3 linked regions of the Arabidopsis thaliana genome follow. The protein of the gene in region 1 interacts with the protein of each later gene in a pairwise test. Each region holds a gene or a part of one and is shown in the gene's direction. Other genes may lie near its edges.

The links. The genes of interacting proteins can lie anywhere in the genome.
Region 2: the proteins of BEE1 (region 1) and RCN1 interact in binary tests that used the Arabidopsis thaliana proteins (3 or more experiments, as listed by UniProt).
Region 3: the proteins of BEE1 (region 1) and HEC3 interact in binary tests that used the Arabidopsis thaliana proteins (3 or more experiments, as listed by UniProt).

What each region holds. Positions count from the first base shown.
Region 1 is NC_003070.9:6,328,606-6,334,853, forward strand, and holds BEE1 (BR enhanced expression 1), read left to right. Parts: upstream 1-2,792; 5' UTR 2,793-2,858; coding exon 2,859-3,215; intron 3,216-3,318; coding exon 3,319-3,444; intron 3,445-3,545; coding exon 3,546-3,611; intron 3,612-4,041; coding exon 4,042-4,110; intron 4,111-4,394; coding exon 4,395-4,472; coding exon of another isoform or gene 4,473-4,514; exon of another isoform or gene 4,515-4,884; coding exon 4,885-4,971; 3' UTR 4,972-5,251; downstream 5,252-6,248. Other genes in the region: AT1G18390 (Serine/Threonine kinase family catalytic domain protein), read left to right, coding at 58-714, 815-1,330. UniProt on the Arabidopsis thaliana protein: Positive regulator of brassinosteroid signaling.
Region 2 is NC_003070.9:8,949,057-8,956,503, forward strand, and holds RCN1 (ARM repeat superfamily protein), read left to right. Parts: upstream 1-2,105; 5' UTR 2,106-2,254; intron 2,255-2,617; 5' UTR 2,618-2,643; coding exon 2,644-3,036; intron 3,037-3,130; coding exon 3,131-3,377; intron 3,378-3,573; coding exon 3,574-3,686; intron 3,687-3,819; coding exon 3,820-3,899; intron 3,900-4,120; coding exon 4,121-4,262; intron 4,263-4,345; coding exon 4,346-4,426; intron 4,427-4,608; coding exon 4,609-4,713; intron 4,714-4,798; coding exon 4,799-4,981; intron 4,982-5,062; coding exon 5,063-5,155; intron 5,156-5,325; coding exon 5,326-5,465; intron 5,466-5,564; coding exon 5,565-5,631; intron 5,632-5,720; coding exon 5,721-5,843; 3' UTR 5,844-6,104; downstream 6,105-7,447. Other genes in the region: AT1G25480 (aluminum activated malate transporter family protein), read left to right, coding at 1-72, 174-443, 543-679, 773-919, 1,206-1,820; AT1G25500 (Plasma-membrane choline transporter family protein), read right to left, coding at 6,381-6,560, 6,652-6,885, 6,984-7,100, 7,186-7,413. UniProt on the Arabidopsis thaliana protein: The A subunit of protein phosphatase 2A serves as a scaffolding molecule to coordinate the assembly of the catalytic subunit and a variable regulatory B subunit. Seems to act as a positive regulator of PP2A catalytic activity.
Region 3 is NC_003076.8:3,024,766-3,029,243, reverse strand, and holds HEC3 (basic helix-loop-helix (bHLH) DNA-binding superfamily protein), read left to right. Parts: upstream 1-2,129; 5' UTR 2,130-2,168; coding exon 2,169-2,843; 3' UTR 2,844-3,135; downstream 3,136-4,478. UniProt on the Arabidopsis thaliana protein: Required for the female reproductive tract development and fertility.

The sequences.
Region 1 (6,248 bases):
GGCAAAGTTATGTTATGCTCTGTTGTTTCGTTAATCATCCCGCTCAAGTTTTAACAGATTACAAAATCCATCTCAGGTGCATCCGCTGCGGTCGTAGGATTAATAGCTGCGAGCATATTTTGGTATGTATACCATCGTAGAAAAACAAAAAGTTACAGAAATTCTTCAGCATTGCTTCCAAGAAACATCTCATCAGATCCATCTGCAAAGTCTTTTGACATCGAGAAAGCAGAGGAATTATTAGTCGGAGTTCATATTTTCTCTTACGAAGAACTTGAAGAAGCCACTAATAACTTCGACCCATCTAAAGAACTCGGTGATGGAGGCTTTGGTACTGTCTATTACGGTAAGCTTAAAGATGGACGAAGCGTAGCCGTTAAACGGTTATACGATAACAACTTCAAAAGAGCAGAGCAATTCAGGAATGAAGTTGAGATCTTAACGGGTTTACGCCATCCAAACCTCGTGGCTCTCTTTGGATGCTCCTCAAAACAGAGCCGGGACTTACTGCTAGTGTATGAGTATGTTGCAAACGGCACGTTAGCTGATCATCTACATGGTCCACAGGCAAACCCTAGCTCACTTCCTTGGTCTATTCGGCTCAAAATCGCTGTTGAAACTGCCTCTGCCTTGAAGTATCTCCACGCCTCCAAGATCATCCACCGTGATGTTAAATCCAACAACATCCTTCTCGACCAAAACTTCAATGTCAAGGTCAGTAACTCACACTGGTTATTACTCAATCTGGTGGGATTTTATCGGATCATAATCTTAACTTCTTTCTGTGTTTTTTTTACTGTTTTCGACATTTTAGGTTGCGGATTTTGGACTCTCTAGACTGTTTCCTATGGATAAAACGCACGTATCTACCGCTCCACAAGGAACTCCGGGATATGTCGACCCGGATTACCACTTATGCTATCAACTCTCAAACAAAAGCGACGTGTACAGCTTTGCGGTAGTGTTAATGGAGCTTATCTCTTCACTTCCAGCAGTCGACATCACAAGACCGCGCCAAGAGATCAACCTCTCGAACATGGCAGTCGTTAAAATCCAGAACCACGAGCTCCGCGACATGGTGGATCCGTCACTTGGGTTTGACACGGATACAAGAGTGAGACAGACGGTGATCGCTGTCGCTGAGCTGGCGTTCCAATGCTTGCAGTCGGATAAAGATCTTAGGCCATGTATGTCGCACGTGCAGGATACGTTGACGAGGATACAGAACAATGGATTTGGTTCGGAAATGGATGTTGTAGATGTGAACAAGAGTGGACCGTTGGTTGCACAGTCTCCAGATAGTGTCATTGTGAAATGGGACAGTAAGTAAAATTAGTCGCACGGCCACTAACATTGTATGTGTTTATTATTTGTATGTTTAAAATTGTCAGTTAACAGTTAGAGAATGGTGTTCGTGTTCTGTATTAGATGATATTTTTGGGAATGTATATAATGATGATCTTGTTCCGATTCCACCTAGAGAGGGACCGTAACATACAAAACTTCGTGATTGGGCCTGACCGGACTAAATCAGCAATTTTGTATTGCTATTTGCTGCCAACTGAAACTATTTTTTTATTAGTGGTTAATTTTATTTTTTTACGGAAAAGGTAAAAATATTTGAGACATCAAAATAATGATGGTAATTAAGTAACGCCAGCTCAGCGACGGCGATGACTATCCACCAATTTAACGTCAGAAGAATATATATATGTATATTGAGCTTATCTTCTGTTTCCAATGTAAGTGGAAAGTCCACTGCTGCAATCACAATGTAAGACCTGCATCTATGAAGTTTTAATGAAAGACACTTTCAGAGAAAAAAAAAAAAAACTTCTGTTTCCAAAATTTCCTAATTAAAGCACACCAATTTGGGCATGGATGCTTTACTACTTCTATTAATGAACAAGTTAAAGAGTAAGTTGTCTTGAATGAATGAAATTGCATGTGAATCAAATCCCTCCACCATACATAATAGATAATCTATAGTAATGGCCCAACTAAACATTGACATTTGTTGCAACCTAACTCTTTCCTAAAAGGAAGAAAAAAAAAAAAAAAAAAAAACTCTTTCCTAAAACTCAATGTGTTTGATCATCACAAGGACAAACAAAGGAAATCTCTAGTATGCCGATTAAAGTGAAAATTTGTCTTCACCAATATAAATAATTTGGTAACTTAAACTTTAACTAAAGATTCATAAATTGGCGTCAACTTATGTAAAAGAACCTTCATATATACTTTCGTTTATCTCCCTATATTTTTATACATACACATATTTATAGTATTTTTGTCGATTAATTGGCATTGGCCATTTGGAAGTTATAATTAAGTTGGCAAATGGATGTGATCTCTTACCCTATACACCTACATAAAAAACCCTCCATGCAAAACATTAATGGATGTTTTCATTAAAACAAGTTTTGATATCAACTTAGTTTGACTAGCTACATCCATTTCAATATTTTCTTCCCAATATTAATAATAAATTTAAAGATAGACCACTAGTTCTTAACCTCACACCAAACTGACTAGAAATGTTCTTCCCCCTTGCAAACAGAGAAAGCCTAATGGAACCCACGACCAAACATTGGTCCTACTTTTCCTTGTTTGGACATATCTCCCCGACACACAAATCCCAGAACGTTCACTTGCCCACGTGGCTCTCCCTTTATTTCTCTCTTTTTCTTTCTTAATTTTCTCCACATTTCTTTTTCTAAAATCATAAATTAAATTAATAAAAAAATCCAATCGAACAATATAAAAGTCTCAAGTTTTGTATCAACCAGTCTAAAGAAGTTGTCAGAAAAAAAAAAAAAAAAAAGTGTCAAGAAGATCATATCTCAATTCATTATATTATGGCAAATTTCGAGAATCTTTCTTCTGATTTTCAGACAATAGCCATGGATATATATTCTTCCATAACTCAAGCTGCAGATCTAAACAACAACAACAGTAACCTTCATTTTCAAACATTTCATCCTTCCTCTACTTCTCTCGAATCGCTCTTCCTTCATCATCATCAACAACAATTACTTCACTTTCCCGGAAACTCTCCAGACAGTAGTAACAATTTCTCTTCAACTTCAAGTTTCCTCCATAGTGATCACAACATCGTCGATGAGACCAAGAAGAGAAAAGCTTTGTTACCTACTTTGTCTTCATCAGAGACTAGCGGCGTCTCCGATAATACGAATGTTATTGCCACTGAAACAGTAATTGATCTCGAAACCCTAGCTAATTATCTTATCATTTTCATAACTTATCATTAAAAAGTTCGTTTAAAATAATTACTTTTATTGTCTAAAAAATATCTAGGGTTCTTTGAGAAGAGGTAAGAGGTTGAAGAAGAAGAAGGAAGAAGAAGACGAGAAAGAGAGAGAAGTTGTTCATGTGAGAGCCAGAAGAGGCCAAGCCACTGATAGCCACAGCTTAGCAGAACGGGTAAAATTGCTTAAATTGTCTATATAAATTCATTTTTTTTATAAACGTGGTGTATTCATTTAAATTTATATACATGTCTACACTCTATATCAAAATTTCAGGTTCGGCGAGGGAAAATAAACGAGAGATTAAGATGCTTGCAAGATATGGTGCCCGGATGTTATAAGGTAATAATGCAAAGATAAATATAATAGTTTAACATTTTCAACTTTTCATTACTTCTTTTTTAATATATTTGTAATCAAAATAGAAACTAATGGCCATTAAACAATAAATAGCATATGAAAAGGTCATCATCGGCATTAATTGTCACTAATTATACTTGAATCAAATTTAAGCATTTTATGATAAAAGTGATACTTTTAGTTAAACAAGAACATATGTATCCAAAAGTATTTTTAACATGCATGAGTGTGATTTTAGCTTTTTTCTTTGATACCGCTCATAATATTTTCCGAAAATTGTTCTTCGGATTTTTTTTTGTTTTTTTTGTTTACAAAGAACTCAGAAAAAAAATTGTAGAAAAAGTGATGTGATTTTCTATTGATTTAGTGGTGCTTACTTCTTATAATGAAAGTGTATGTTTGGTGGGTGCAGGCTATGGGAATGGCTACGATGCTTGACGAGATAATTAATTATGTCCAGTCTCTACAGAATCAAGTCGAGGTAAATAATTTAAGTTGTAATCATAAACTACATATATCAATAAGACTTTGTCTTCTTGTATTTTGGAGAAAGAAAAAAAAAACTAGAAAATGGAGGTTTCATGAGATGGGAGGTTCGGTAAATACCTACTTTAGTAGTACTTTCCGAAACACGGCAAATCTTAGATATTCGAAAATTACAAAAAAAAAACGAAAATCTTACCACACACTTTAAAAAACTTCCAAAACACAAGCTTTAATTTTATAAATTACTCAATTTTGTTTCATGTTTTTTGTGGATTTCAGTTCCTCTCGATGAAACTCACTGCAGCAAGTTCGTTTTATGACTTTAACTCAGAGACAGATGCAGTTGATTCCATGCAGGTACTAGAACATTCTAATAATGTTTTTCAATTCTTAAGATAAGCATATATATAATTAATTAGTGGTAGTCTGGTAGAGATGTTGTAATGGGTCCGGTATGTTTTGATCGAGTCGGTTCTACAAAGATTTATTCAAAAATACAAGTGTTTGTAGTTTAGATTCAATCTTATTAGACTATAATATATGATCACGCGGACTATATGACCCGCAATTAAAATATGTTCGACAGGTCAAATCCAGCCTTTGCATAATTGATCTTGTATGGTTTATTGGTTTAAGTAGTCTCTTTTTTTTTGGCATTATATTTGCATGGTTTAAGTCTAACTAGTTGTTGTTATGACAATTACTTTATTTTAACGTGATAAAGTATTTCTATTAGTATTGAATAATATGAATGGAATACAATTGGCAGAGAGCAAAGGCACGTGAGACAGTGGAGATGGGGAGACAAACAAGAGATGGGAGTCCTGTCTTCCATTTATCAACATGGTCCCTTTGACTTTTGTTTTCTCTTTTCTCTTTTCCTTCTTTTTTATTGTTTTCGAAATTATTCTTCTATTTATTTGGATGCGATATGTCATATATACGACCCAACTTGGGATAATATTTGTAATCTGTATACTTGTAATTTCGACGATATAAATTTATTGGTGACTTATAATTGTCATGTAAATATCTCAGTTGTCCTCTCCCTTTTCGCTTTGCTATTTCGTTTGCTTGGCACCTTTTTCCTTTTCCTCTTATGTAATTGTCCTCTTAAGTTATGAAATGATCAGAAATAAAATTCAACAGAATTTTTTTATTTTGTTTCTGCAAATGAAGTTATAAATCATGGATGAATTAGCTCATATGTCAAAGTGTTGATGAGTGAATTGACGATGATGGGAAGAGAGAAATCAATTGTAAATTGTATATATTACCAAATCTTCAATGAAATGTGATTAGTCTTTATAACAAAAAGAAATGAGCGTTACCAGTCGGTTTAAATATTGATTTTAGTTTATTAATTTTAGGGTCGAGAGTTCTTAGTCTGATTACAGACATGCATGTGCTTTTGATGTCTAGAGTTCCACTTCACTTTCCTACGTAAAGTGGGTTAAAAACGGCTTCGGCTATAGAATTACTAAAAATGAAGATTAGTTTATAATATAAAACGATATGTTCTTGTTAAGGGATTATATTTCCATTCATATGTAATTTGCTTTTGGTTACTAAAAACATTTTCCTTTTTCAGCGAGAAAGGCATAGTTACATATACGATAAACTGGAAGAGGCAAGTTGCGCAAGGTTTGGTAACGAAGAGGAGTTATGGAACCAAAGAGACTTTGTCGGTGTAAATTAACAAAAACACCCTTCACTTCTGTAGCTTTCCAAAGACAATGATGTGTGTCTCCCAAACCAAAAACAGAGACAAAATAGTAAATTGTGATGCGAAGCCTATGGACGTGTTTTACAGACGAACAACCAATCTCTTGAGACTTCCTTCCTCTTTTGTGGTCTCTCTTATTATCCATATATGAATATCTCTTATATATTTCATATTTTTTTCAAAAATAATTCTAATAGCGACGGTTCACTTCACAGGATCTTACGGATGTTGCCTATTCATAATCTTTATGATTGATAGAACAATTCAGATATTTGTATGATCGTATATATAAAGAAAGTGAGGGTATAATAATACACTTTTGTCTTTCTGTTATTCTCTCTATACATGTTTCTTTATTTCTGATTTTTTTTTTTTATTATAATTTTTTTTATGACATTTTGGACACT
Region 2 (7,447 bases), 2.6 Mb from region 1:
GCATAGCTAGACTCTCTGTTTCAGCTGGAGAATTTGAAGAACTCATTATCATTATCAGTATTTTCATTGCAGGTTGCACTATTTCTCTCAATTTTTATTAGAAATGAACCTTTTTTAAATAAACATACTAACTTTATTTTTGATACTTGTGAATCTGTTGGTTTGTCTATCAGGTTTTTCTGCAAGTTATTTGAAACTATACCCGGCGATGAAGTCGTATGAATATGCATTCAGGGTGTTTTTGTTGACATACTGTATTGTTCTTGTGTCTGGAAACAACTCTAGAGATTTTTTTAGCACTGCTTATTATAGGTTTTTGCTTATCCTGGTTGGTGCTGGTATCTGTTTGGGTGTGAACATATTTATACTTCCCATTTGGGCTGGAGAAGACCTCCATAAACTAGTTGTTAAGAATTTCAAAAGTGTGGCCAATTCACTTGAAGGTAGAGAGATACGTCAAATGGCTGTTTTCTCTTGTTTCGTTTCGGGTTTTGGCTGTTTTTTTATGTCTTGTTTTGTTTGTGCTTTCCTAAAACTTTCAGGATGTGTTAATGGGTACTTGCAATGTGTTGAATACGAGAGGATTCCTTCGAAGATTCTCACTTACCAAGCTTCGGATGATCCATTATACAGTGGATACAGGTCTGTAGTCCAATCTACGAGCCAAGAAGATTCTCTGGTGTGTTTTCCTTAGGACACTTTTGTTGAGCAGCAACTAGATAACTTGAAAAGGATTTAGATGATAAGATACGATGACCTCTTTTTTCCTCAGCTTGATTTTGCAGTATGGGAGCCTCCACATGGACCATATAAGACTTTCCACCATCCATGGGCAAACTACGTCAAACTTAGTGGCGCAGTAAGGCACTGCGCTTTCATGGTCATGGCAATGCATGGCTGCATTCTTTCGGAAATTCAGGTAACTTACCATATTCTTGTTAAATACAACTTTATCTATCATAGCAAATGAGGTGCTATAATGGTTATTAGAGACTATACCAACCTGCTTCAAATGCTACTAGTACCTCTTCGTGATTAACTAGACTGTTACTCTGAGAAGTCGGATATTTGTCATATAATTGTTGAGTAGGTGCAAAGTGGGATCTCCTAGTTTACTGTTGTTACTAGTGAATGGTTTTCTTTGAGTTCAATGCTTGTCGTATGCCCTATAAGACTTGTGATATCAATTGGTGTGGGATTTGCAGGCAGCTCCAGAAAAAAGGCAGGCTTTTCGTCAAGAACTTCAAAGAGTTGGAAACGAAGGAGCCAAAGTCTTGAGGTTGTTTGGAGAAAAGGTGGAGAAAATGGAGAAGCTAAGCCCAGGGAACGTTCTCAAGGATGTTCAAAGAGCAGCAGAGGAACTACAGATGAAAATAGACAGTAACTCCTTCCTACTTGTCAACTCAGAAAGCTGGGCTGCTATGAAAGAGAAAGCCGAAGCTGAAGAAGCGCAACAAAACTATCACGAAGCCAAAGACGACGAGTCTAAAGTGATTCAATCCCTCAGCCAGATATGGGACAATAACAACAACCCTCATCATCAGAATCAACACGCTGGTAATGATTCTCAGCTATGGATATCAACAGAGAGTATGATGCTTAGGAACCGCGAAAACTGGCCAAGCGTCTCTTTCATAGGCGGTTCTATGATCAATGAGATAGAATCCAAAGTATATGAAAGTGCGAGTTCTTTGTCGCTAGCTACATTTGCGTCTCTTTTGATCGAGTTTGTTGCAAGGCTCCAAAATATTGTTAACGCGTATGAGGAACTAAGCACTAAAGCCGATTTCAAAGAACAAGTTAGCGAGACACGGATATAGAAAAAGCTGGACTCTGGACCAGACTCAGTAGCTGCTTCAGCTCCAGGGATATAGTTGATTTTGTATAGAAAATTATATACATTATTGCTTTGTTTGTTTGCTGTCTTGAAATAAGTTCCTAATTCCTTTTTGTTTTGTTTTGGCAAAGTCATAAACTCAATTGGAAAGTTTTGTTTTTCTTTCATTGTATCAATTGAATCAACTGTTTAATTTTTTAAAGCAAAAAATTGATTAAAGCCCAACATAACCCAATCCTAAGAAAGCCCAAAATGGCCCAATTAGACACTTTCGTCATTTTATATCTTTCCCTTTAATAAATCCTTCGTAAAAAAAAATCAAACGCAGAATATTATTTTTCTCGCTCGCGAATTCCTCTTTCTCACCTTTTCTCGCTCCTGGGAATCTGAAGCAGTTCTTCTCCGACGCCTGGATCGGTAAGTTGATTTCCAGTTTCTTCTTAACGAATCATAAGATCTCATCTCTAAACCTTCATTTTCCGATTCACATTCCCTTTAATCCAACTTCGAACCGGTGAATCTGAACCCATTTCTCGCTTCTTCTGTTTTATTCATACCCGATTCGTTTCAAAATCTGCAGTATAGTCTTAATCTGTTTGTGCAAGTAGAGAAAAATCAATAAAGCCGAAGATAACACTCGAGTGGCTATAATTGTTTTTTCCCAGGATCTGTAAATGATTTCTCGTATTTATTACTAAATATTTTATTCGAGATCCGAAAATATCTATTGTTTCGTCTCTTATAGCAATGAGCTCATAGGAATTATTTTTGGTGTTGCAGTGATTTGATTCGAACTTTCACATAAGATGGCTATGGTAGATGAACCGTTGTATCCCATTGCTGTGCTTATAGATGAGCTTAAGAATGATGATATTCAGCTTCGTTTGAACTCGATCCGTCGCTTATCTACTATAGCTCGTGCTCTTGGAGAGGAGCGTACAAGGAAGGAGTTAATCCCTTTTTTGAGTGAGAATAGTGACGATGACGATGAGGTGCTTCTTGCAATGGCTGAGGAGTTAGGAGTTTTTATTCCGTTTGTTGGAGGAATTGAGTTTGCGCATGTTCTTCTTCCTCCTTTGGAATCTCTATGTACTGTTGAAGAGACTTGTGTGAGAGAAAAAGCTGTGGAATCGCTTTGTAAGATTGGATCTCAGATGAAAGAGAATGATCTTGTTGAATCTTTTGTTCCTCTTGTGAAGGTTAGTTTAGGAGATTTATGTAGCACTAGATTACGCCGTTTTGTTAGTTGGTTCAATCAAAGCTTTTTTTTTTGTTTTGTTGTTTGTCTTGTAGAGGTTAGCGGGTGGTGAATGGTTTGCAGCAAGAGTTTCTGCATGTGGTATATTTCATGTTGCATACCAAGGTTGCACTGATGTGTTGAAGACTGAGTTACGGGCTACTTATAGCCAGTTGTGCAAAGATGATATGCCAATGGTGCGAAGAGCTGCTGCATCTAACCTGGGGAAATTTGCTACAACTGTCGAGTCTACCTTTTTGATTGCTGAGATCATGACTATGTTCGATGATCTTACTAAAGATGGTACTTAATGTTTGAATATATCGTACTTTATATGTGCTCATCACTTAGAAATAGTTTGCATAGACCCAAGAGTATGGTAAAGAGATCACATTTGAATTAATAAACGCTGTTTGATGAAATATATTGGATACTTACCTCTTCAGAAATGTTTGTTTTATCTGTGCTTATATTGGTTAAACTTTAACCTTCATTTCAGACCAAGATTCTGTGAGACTATTGGCTGTTGAAGGGTGTGCAGCTCTTGGAAAGTTGTTGGAACCTCAGGATTGTGTTGCACGCATTTTACCTGTTATTGTTAATTTCTCTCAGGTGAATTGAGCTTTGTTTTTTTCATTCATGGATTTTTCAGTTAATTGTCTGCTGTTCCATGTTTAATTTTCATCGGTAAAAGCTTGCTGTTCTGATGTTTTTCTATGGTGTTTGTATTGATTTCTGAGAGCAGGATAAATCTTGGAGGGTGCGCTACATGGTTGCTAATCAGCTATATGAACTTTGTGAGGCAGTGGGTCCTGATTGCACGAGGTATGTGTTTTGTGACATTGTTGATTTTTTTGTCATCCTTGCTAATCTAGGCTTTCGTTCTCGTAAAACAGTTTTGTGACCTTCAAACAAATATGCATCTAAGAGCGTCTATTGGAAGTTTTCTTTATTCTTTTTCGTTCATATAAGAGCCTTCCATGGTAGTTCTATGTTTGTACATGTATCTTTTTATTTTGACACAATTTATGTTATAATATCTCTAGGACGGATTTGGTTCCAGCATATGTGAGATTGCTAAGGGACAATGAGGCTGAAGTGCGAATAGCAGCAGCGGGAAAAGTGACCAAGTTCTGTCGGCTTTTGAATCCAGAGCTTGCGATTCAGCACATCCTTCCTTGTGTGAAGGTAAGACTCCTTAAATTCTATATAAACGAGTTGTTTGATGTCCCCTGTCTCGTAATATTCTGATACATACTGATGTCTGGCAGGAATTATCATCGGATTCTTCTCAACATGTCCGCTCTGCTCTAGCTTCAGTAATAATGGGGATGGCTCCTATCCTTGGGAAGGTATGAACTGAAGATAGCCAACATTTTCGCATCTTGTGACAATGTTCTGAGATTTAATTTGTTTTATGGTTTTCATCAACAAAATCAGCCATACCTTGTGTTATGGCGTGGTTATACCAGCCCCAACTGGTGTTGCAGACCTTATCAAAAAATTATTAACATACTAAAATCTTTCAATACAGGACTCAACCATTGAGCATCTGTTACCAATTTTTCTTTCCCTTTTGAAAGATGAATTTCCTGATGTGCGCCTTAACATCATAAGCAAGTTAGATCAAGTCAACCAGGTTTGTTGCATCTCTCTTGTGTGCTTTAGATACTACTTTTATTGCTTCCTTATTTAGTTGGTGACTGAATTATCTTTTACGGCAGGTTATTGGAATTGATCTACTATCTCAATCCTTGTTACCGGCCATTGTAGAACTTGCTGAGGATCGGCACTGGAGAGTCCGACTTGCAATAATAGAGTATGTTCCACTGTTGGCCAGCCAGTTAGGTATAGGATTTTTCGATGACAAGCTCGGAGCCCTTTGCATGCAATGGCTGCAAGACAAGGTTTACCTTGAATCTTTGATGTTTGCATAAATTTCTCATTCACTTGTTATTGTAGATATTGACACTGTTCTCCTCCTTCAGGTCTACTCTATCCGCGAAGCTGCAGCAAACAACCTAAAGCGCCTCGCAGAGGAGTTTGGTCCTGAATGGGCAATGCAGCACTTAGTTCCCCAGGTATTCTTTGAGCATTTTATACTAAAACCATCTGTCTGTTTATCTTATTGTTGATCTATGTCAAGTACCTCACCTATAACATCTAATCTCCAGCTTTGGTCCCTTTTCTTTGGATATCACTAAAGCTGCAAATATTGAGATCTCCAGATTGACCTTTATCATATAAACAGGTATTGGACATGGTCAACAATCCGCACTACCTACACAGGATGATGGTTCTACGCGCAATATCTCTCATGGCGCCTGTAATGGGATCAGAAATCACATGCTCTAAGTTTCTTCCTGTGGTTGTTGAAGCATCAAAAGACAGGTACAATAGATAGATTAGAGGATATGAATAAGCCAAACTAGTTTAAGAACACTTCTTAGTTTTTAATGTGTTGTTGTTGCACACCTCTTATCTCTGCAGAGTTCCAAACATCAAGTTCAACGTTGCCAAACTTCTGCAATCCCTCATCCCCATAGTCGACCAATCAGTACGATCATAACAAACATAACTCAGTTATATCGAAAACTAATGGAAATTGTTGAATTTTAATGTTTTTGCCGTGTCAAAAATTTGTAGGTGGTGGACAAAACAATCCGTCAGTGTTTGGTGGACCTGAGCGAAGACCCTGATGTTGATGTTCGTTATTTTGCAAATCAAGCACTTAATTCCATCGATGGTTCCACAGCAGCACAATCCTGAATTGTTTTTTTTTCATATGTATGATCGTTAAGTTAAGTTTCTATTATTCGTGTTCTCTGCAATTTATTTGGTTTGTTTGTGTAAAACGCCATTTTGGTTGCTGGCTATGAACTGCAACTATTTTTGTTAGTAAAATTGTATTACCTTTTTTACACTTTCTGTTGTTCCAAACCTTATACATTCTTCTTAGTTTACTAATGCTAACACTACTCCCTTAGTGAAACTATTTGAGATAGAGTGAAATGCGTGTGGCTATGTTTGGTCTTCTGACTAGTTCTTGTTTCAAACTTTATCCAACCCCTCTAGATCAACTTTGTTCTATTCAATTGATTTTGTTTTTCTAATAAACACAAAAATCAATACATTAGATTTTGATACAAACGCCCACAGCCTCCTATTCATGATTCAACAAATAGAAAGCATAAATCATTTGACAAAATAATTTTAGCCACAAGGGTTAGCCCGCTTTTAGCACCCTCTAATAGCATAATATTCTACAGTTATATCTCCTATTTTCCAAGAGGAGGCATAGGCTAATCAAGCGGTCGTCAAAACTTCACGGGCTCGCGAGCTACGATGTTGGAGACGACGGTGAAGCACCTCAGACATCTCAGTGTAGAAATCAGCATCCCATCTCTGAATCAACAAAGGATCTTCAGCAAAACATATGTATATCGATGTCACAGCGCTTTCGACTACCACCATTCCTAAACCCACCTGAACACCACATTGGATCAATGAAACAAAGTGAACAAGTTGGTCATGTAATTTTTTGGGTGACTAAAAGAGTGCACAAAAGAAAACTCACAAGAACCATTCCCATCAACATAGCCGTAGATGCAACCATTATAACTCGGTCACTGTACTTGATCCAAGCCCATATACCAATGCAAGAGCCTGTGATGAGTCCTCCAAAGATGGTTCCCATCAGAAGTACAGCACCAGAGCAGTCATATGCAACAAGTGCCTCTACACCTGTCGACTGAAACAATTCCCATGCGTCTCTTGCTGATTTGTTGAATCCTTTTCCATACACTGCAATCTGATAATTAACCAAACGTTTTTTTCATTCTGAGTCTCATTGCTCATAGGAGGGAGATGATGAGCTTGTTTAAAAACTGTCTATATTTATATATATACCTGGACGTATGCATACTTGTTAAAAAAACGAACTAGTGTTTCAACTAGATGAAACAGGAAATCAACGCAGCAAAGTAAACATTCGTTTCCACAAATCTTGGACCGGAATCCCCTTATCTGCAAAAGAAAGTTGCAGACTAATGTTATTAACAAGAGGAGCAATGATAATGTTTTACGAACAGCAAAGGATGCTGGAGACTACCTCCCAGCGAAGTGTTCTAATGGCAGCAGTGAAGAGTGAACCGTAACATATGCTCCCAAAAGATGTTGTCACGGCATACCTAAGTGAGTCTACCAAAGAGCTAGGAGGCAACGATGATGACTCTTCTTGACCACAGTGAAAGAGAACATGAAACACCATCCCAGAAACTATAACATGGACAGTGTTACATAGCACAGCGCCTGTCCAGAATAAGCTAACCGAAAGAACCTGCATATATATTATATGTTCCAATGATTGAGTG
Region 3 (4,478 bases), on another chromosome or scaffold:
CACAGACGAAATGGGGGCCGCTTGAGCTGTCACATGTTTAAACCATATCATAATAGATAAGCTAGTGATAATTTGCTTAAAAGAAAACATGATTTAGTAAATCAATTGCATTCAATTTTTGTTTATTACAACTCGGTATACATTTCGAAACATATTATACAAGCTTTATAAACCATTATGATATTTCACATCACAGTTGCAGAAATGTACATACAACCAAAAAGGAAAAAGTAATAATAAAATACTATATGTATTCTAAATGAAATCATAGATTTAAGAAGTAAATTAAATTTATGTGTCTTATATATTCTATTATTTTACATGTTTTTGTGGAAATTTAGAAACTAGCTGTCCAAAATGAATCATTTAACTTTCACATGTATGAAAAATATTAATAGACTTAATTAAAAAACACTCTAAATTTATGATCAGGCAATAAAAAAATTGTTCATTGCTCCAATCCATCCGAATTTGTATTATATAAAATACATGGCAAAATAAAACTTCTTTTAACTAAACTATATTATATTATAAGTCTTGCTCATGACTGTTATATACTTTAATAATATGATCGAATGCTAGCTATTATATTAAATACACAGTTACTCTTTTAATTGCGGTTTTCATTTTAAACCGCTATAAATGCGAAAACTATATAGTGTATACTTATATCGAATCAAATTAATTTCCAAAACTTGTGTGTGTATAAGTAGATGTTCATACATGTAGTTGGCAGTTGGGTGGATTTAATAAGAATATAATATACAGTGAACAATGGATTAATACCAAAGAAGTAACCCTATAATGCATGATTGCAGCCTGCATGCGCAATTTGTATGATTATAATGCAGACCAAATCATAACATATGTGCAAAATATACGCTTATATCTCATATATGTACATATACATGTGTATTTATACATTGCTTTTGTGTTGAGGCATATGACATAAGAAACTTGTCACATTAAATCAGAACCGTCTGATTTTTGTATAAACGGATCGAAACAACGTATATAAATTTGCCTCTTTTGAAGTCTCATAAAATTTCGTGTATTTTACGGATTTGTGTTTGTTTTATACACTTGTATACAAGAACGTTGTTACGTAGATGTGAACTTTGTTAATAAAAAGCAGAAATTGCTTCATGGAAAATGATATATTCACCACCGTCTTATATAAACGAGTCACGACGATGATACACGTCTTTCTTATTAATGACAATCATGGATAACACCCAAATGTTGAAGAAGCTAAGGTGTCCCCATGCGAGTGATTTGATGTTTGTTATCCTTATAAACCTTTAATCACGTCGCAAGTTATAGAATAGCTTTGTGGAAAAAAGCAAGTTGATCATTTGTTTTATAATAATATATAACATTGCGAGTTTCACACACAATTTACATTCAATATTGGACTCCATCGAGGGGAGAGAGAAAATCACGACCGTTGATCGGGATAAGAGTATAGGATCAACAAAATGTGCTATTTCGTGAAGAGACAAGAGAATGAGAGAAAATTTATCAAGATTTCCTATTTTAGTGAATGGGTTTTGTGAAGAGAGAAGGAGATAATTAAAGGGATTGTAAATTGAGAAGTCAGAATAAGAGCACACAAGTGGTGACATCTTTTGTGAATCAAAGAGAAACTCATGTTCATATAAAGTAATTCACATTCTTATAGCTAGTGGTTATTAGTTTATTACTTTGGTGAAAGCCACTTTCTCGATATACCCTAAATTCAAGTCTCAATGTGGGAGAGGGAAACCCTAGCCAACTCAAAACTATCTCATTAGTCAACTGGAGCTGCTCATTAAAAAAAAAAAAAAAAAAGCGATTATGCCAACTATATGTATACAAAAGTGCTACAACGTTTATAAACATTTTCGGAGCATAAAAAAACTTCTTATTCAACTATATACAATTTAATCTTTTTCTTTGGTAACGACTAGTGACGTCCACTTATTGAAAAGATACATATAAATAAAATTATTCTTTATTTTTTCTCCGAACCAAAATCCTTAATTGCATCACCAACCTAACCCCTCATCATATGATCACCTTTCTTTTTTTCCTTTAATATATATATATGCTCACACACACACATATATATATACATATAAGCATCGCCTCAAGCATTAAAATTTTTACGAACCAAACAAACAAAAATTATGAATAATTATAATATGAACCCATCTCTCTTCCAAAATTACACTTGGAACAACATCATCAACAGCAGCAACAACAACAACAAGAATGATGATCATCATCATCAACATAATAATGATCCAATCGGTATGGCCATGGACCAGTACACACAGCTCCATATCTTCAATCCTTTCTCTTCTTCTCATTTCCCTCCTCTCTCTTCTTCCCTCACAACCACCACTCTTCTCTCCGGAGATCAAGAAGACGACGAAGACGAAGAAGAACCTCTAGAGGAACTCGGTGCTATGAAGGAAATGATGTACAAGATCGCAGCCATGCAATCGGTTGACATCGACCCAGCAACCGTCAAGAAACCCAAACGCCGTAACGTGAGGATCTCCGACGACCCTCAGAGTGTGGCGGCTAGACATCGCCGTGAGAGAATCAGTGAGAGGATCAGAATTCTTCAGAGACTCGTGCCAGGTGGCACTAAAATGGATACGGCTTCAATGCTCGATGAAGCTATACGCTATGTCAAGTTCTTGAAACGGCAGATCCGGCTACTCAATAATAATACCGGATATACTCCTCCGCCGCCGCAAGATCAAGCTTCTCAGGCGGTGACGACGTCATGGGTTTCACCGCCACCACCGCCAAGTTTCGGCCGTGGGGGAAGAGGAGTAGGAGAATTAATCTAGACAAGATGACATTTCCATTAGTAGTAACTAAATTATGCTATAATGTGTGAGTAATGGTGCAATTATGGAAAGTGTTTATATATAATAAAAATGGATACGAAATAAGGGTTTGTTAGGATATATAATATATTGTTGTTGACCGTGAAAAGGTTGTGGAATAATCATAACGGTTAGCTTGAGTTGTGTACCACCATATATTTAATATTATGTTATCATTTCGTATATAATAATAAGTTCTTGATTTGGAGTTTGGTTGTATACAAGTTTTGGCCGGGCATTTTTCGGGCATAAGAACCATGACGCCATCAAAGAACCCTATTTAAATAGTGTTATCATTACTGTGGACTTTTGTCTTTGTATACACACAACGCATATATTTGTGAAGTACTATATTTTAGAGCATATAATATGAATGTACTCTATTGCTTCATTTTCATCTTTTTACGTACATACCTCACTTTGAACGTTAATACCTATACATATTGAAAATCGTTTTGTTATGATTAGAATAAGCTTTAAGAATTCCTAAATTACAATAAGCTTTAGGGCTTTTTTTTTAATATATAGCTTCACAACTAGCAACGAAAAATCCAAAAAGAAAAAAGTTGTTATGAAAATAATATCCGTACGTTTAGTCTATTAGATTATACTTGTTAGTATCCGATTAAACATCACCTGAAAACTAAAAAGTCTAACAGACTAAACGTATCCGATTATACTTGTTGTAAAAATGTTAACGAAAAATGTTTAGCTATAGTAACGTTTAGCATAATGAAAATTACGACAATCATCCCATAAAATGATGTTTTGTAATATAAAGTAATCTCAAATTACAACAAACCGATAAGGTATACAGATACTCTACTCCAGAAAGAGAGTATATATCGAGACATATTATAAAGAGGATGGTGCAGAGAAAATGTACTTGCTCGTTTTGTCTTCGAATTAATGAATAGAAGTTCAACTAAAACAGTTGCAAGATCTCTTTTTACCTTCCCAATAATAAAAAGAAAACCTTTGACTACAAACAAGCATTAAACCACCAGAGCTTTGCTCCACACTTGTTGGTCAGAAAATCTCAGAAAAGTAGCAGAGAGGTTAATTCAAGGAAACCTATGCTCCTTGTTCACTTCACTCATGGATACTTCCGCTGACTTTTGTGTCTCCTCACATTCATAGGTTTTAATAAAGACACAATGAAATGTCAGTGAGATTCATGGAAACCTAGCTATATCCATTTTGCTAACGAAATCATTTAATATATTTTCTTTCTTTTTGCCACATAGTTATACATTCATTCACATCCTAGAGATAATTGCAAGAACTTAACGTCTAACCAAATTATTTAGCTCAAACAATGCATTAATAGTCACTAAATAGCCATGGGTATGATTCATATATTTTCAAATCTAATTCGTTTTACTACAGAAATATTTCAATGTGATTCGAGATAATTCTTACATGATCAAACAACTTTCTAATTTTATGAATAAACTGTGATCCCGGTGAAAATGTATGTACTTCACACCATTAAATATCAATATTTTTAACGGCCCATAAATATAGGCCCAATTATGTGAAAAGTTACTAATGGGCCTGATTTATTTCAAGTGTCCGTTTTTCTCTCTCTAGTTC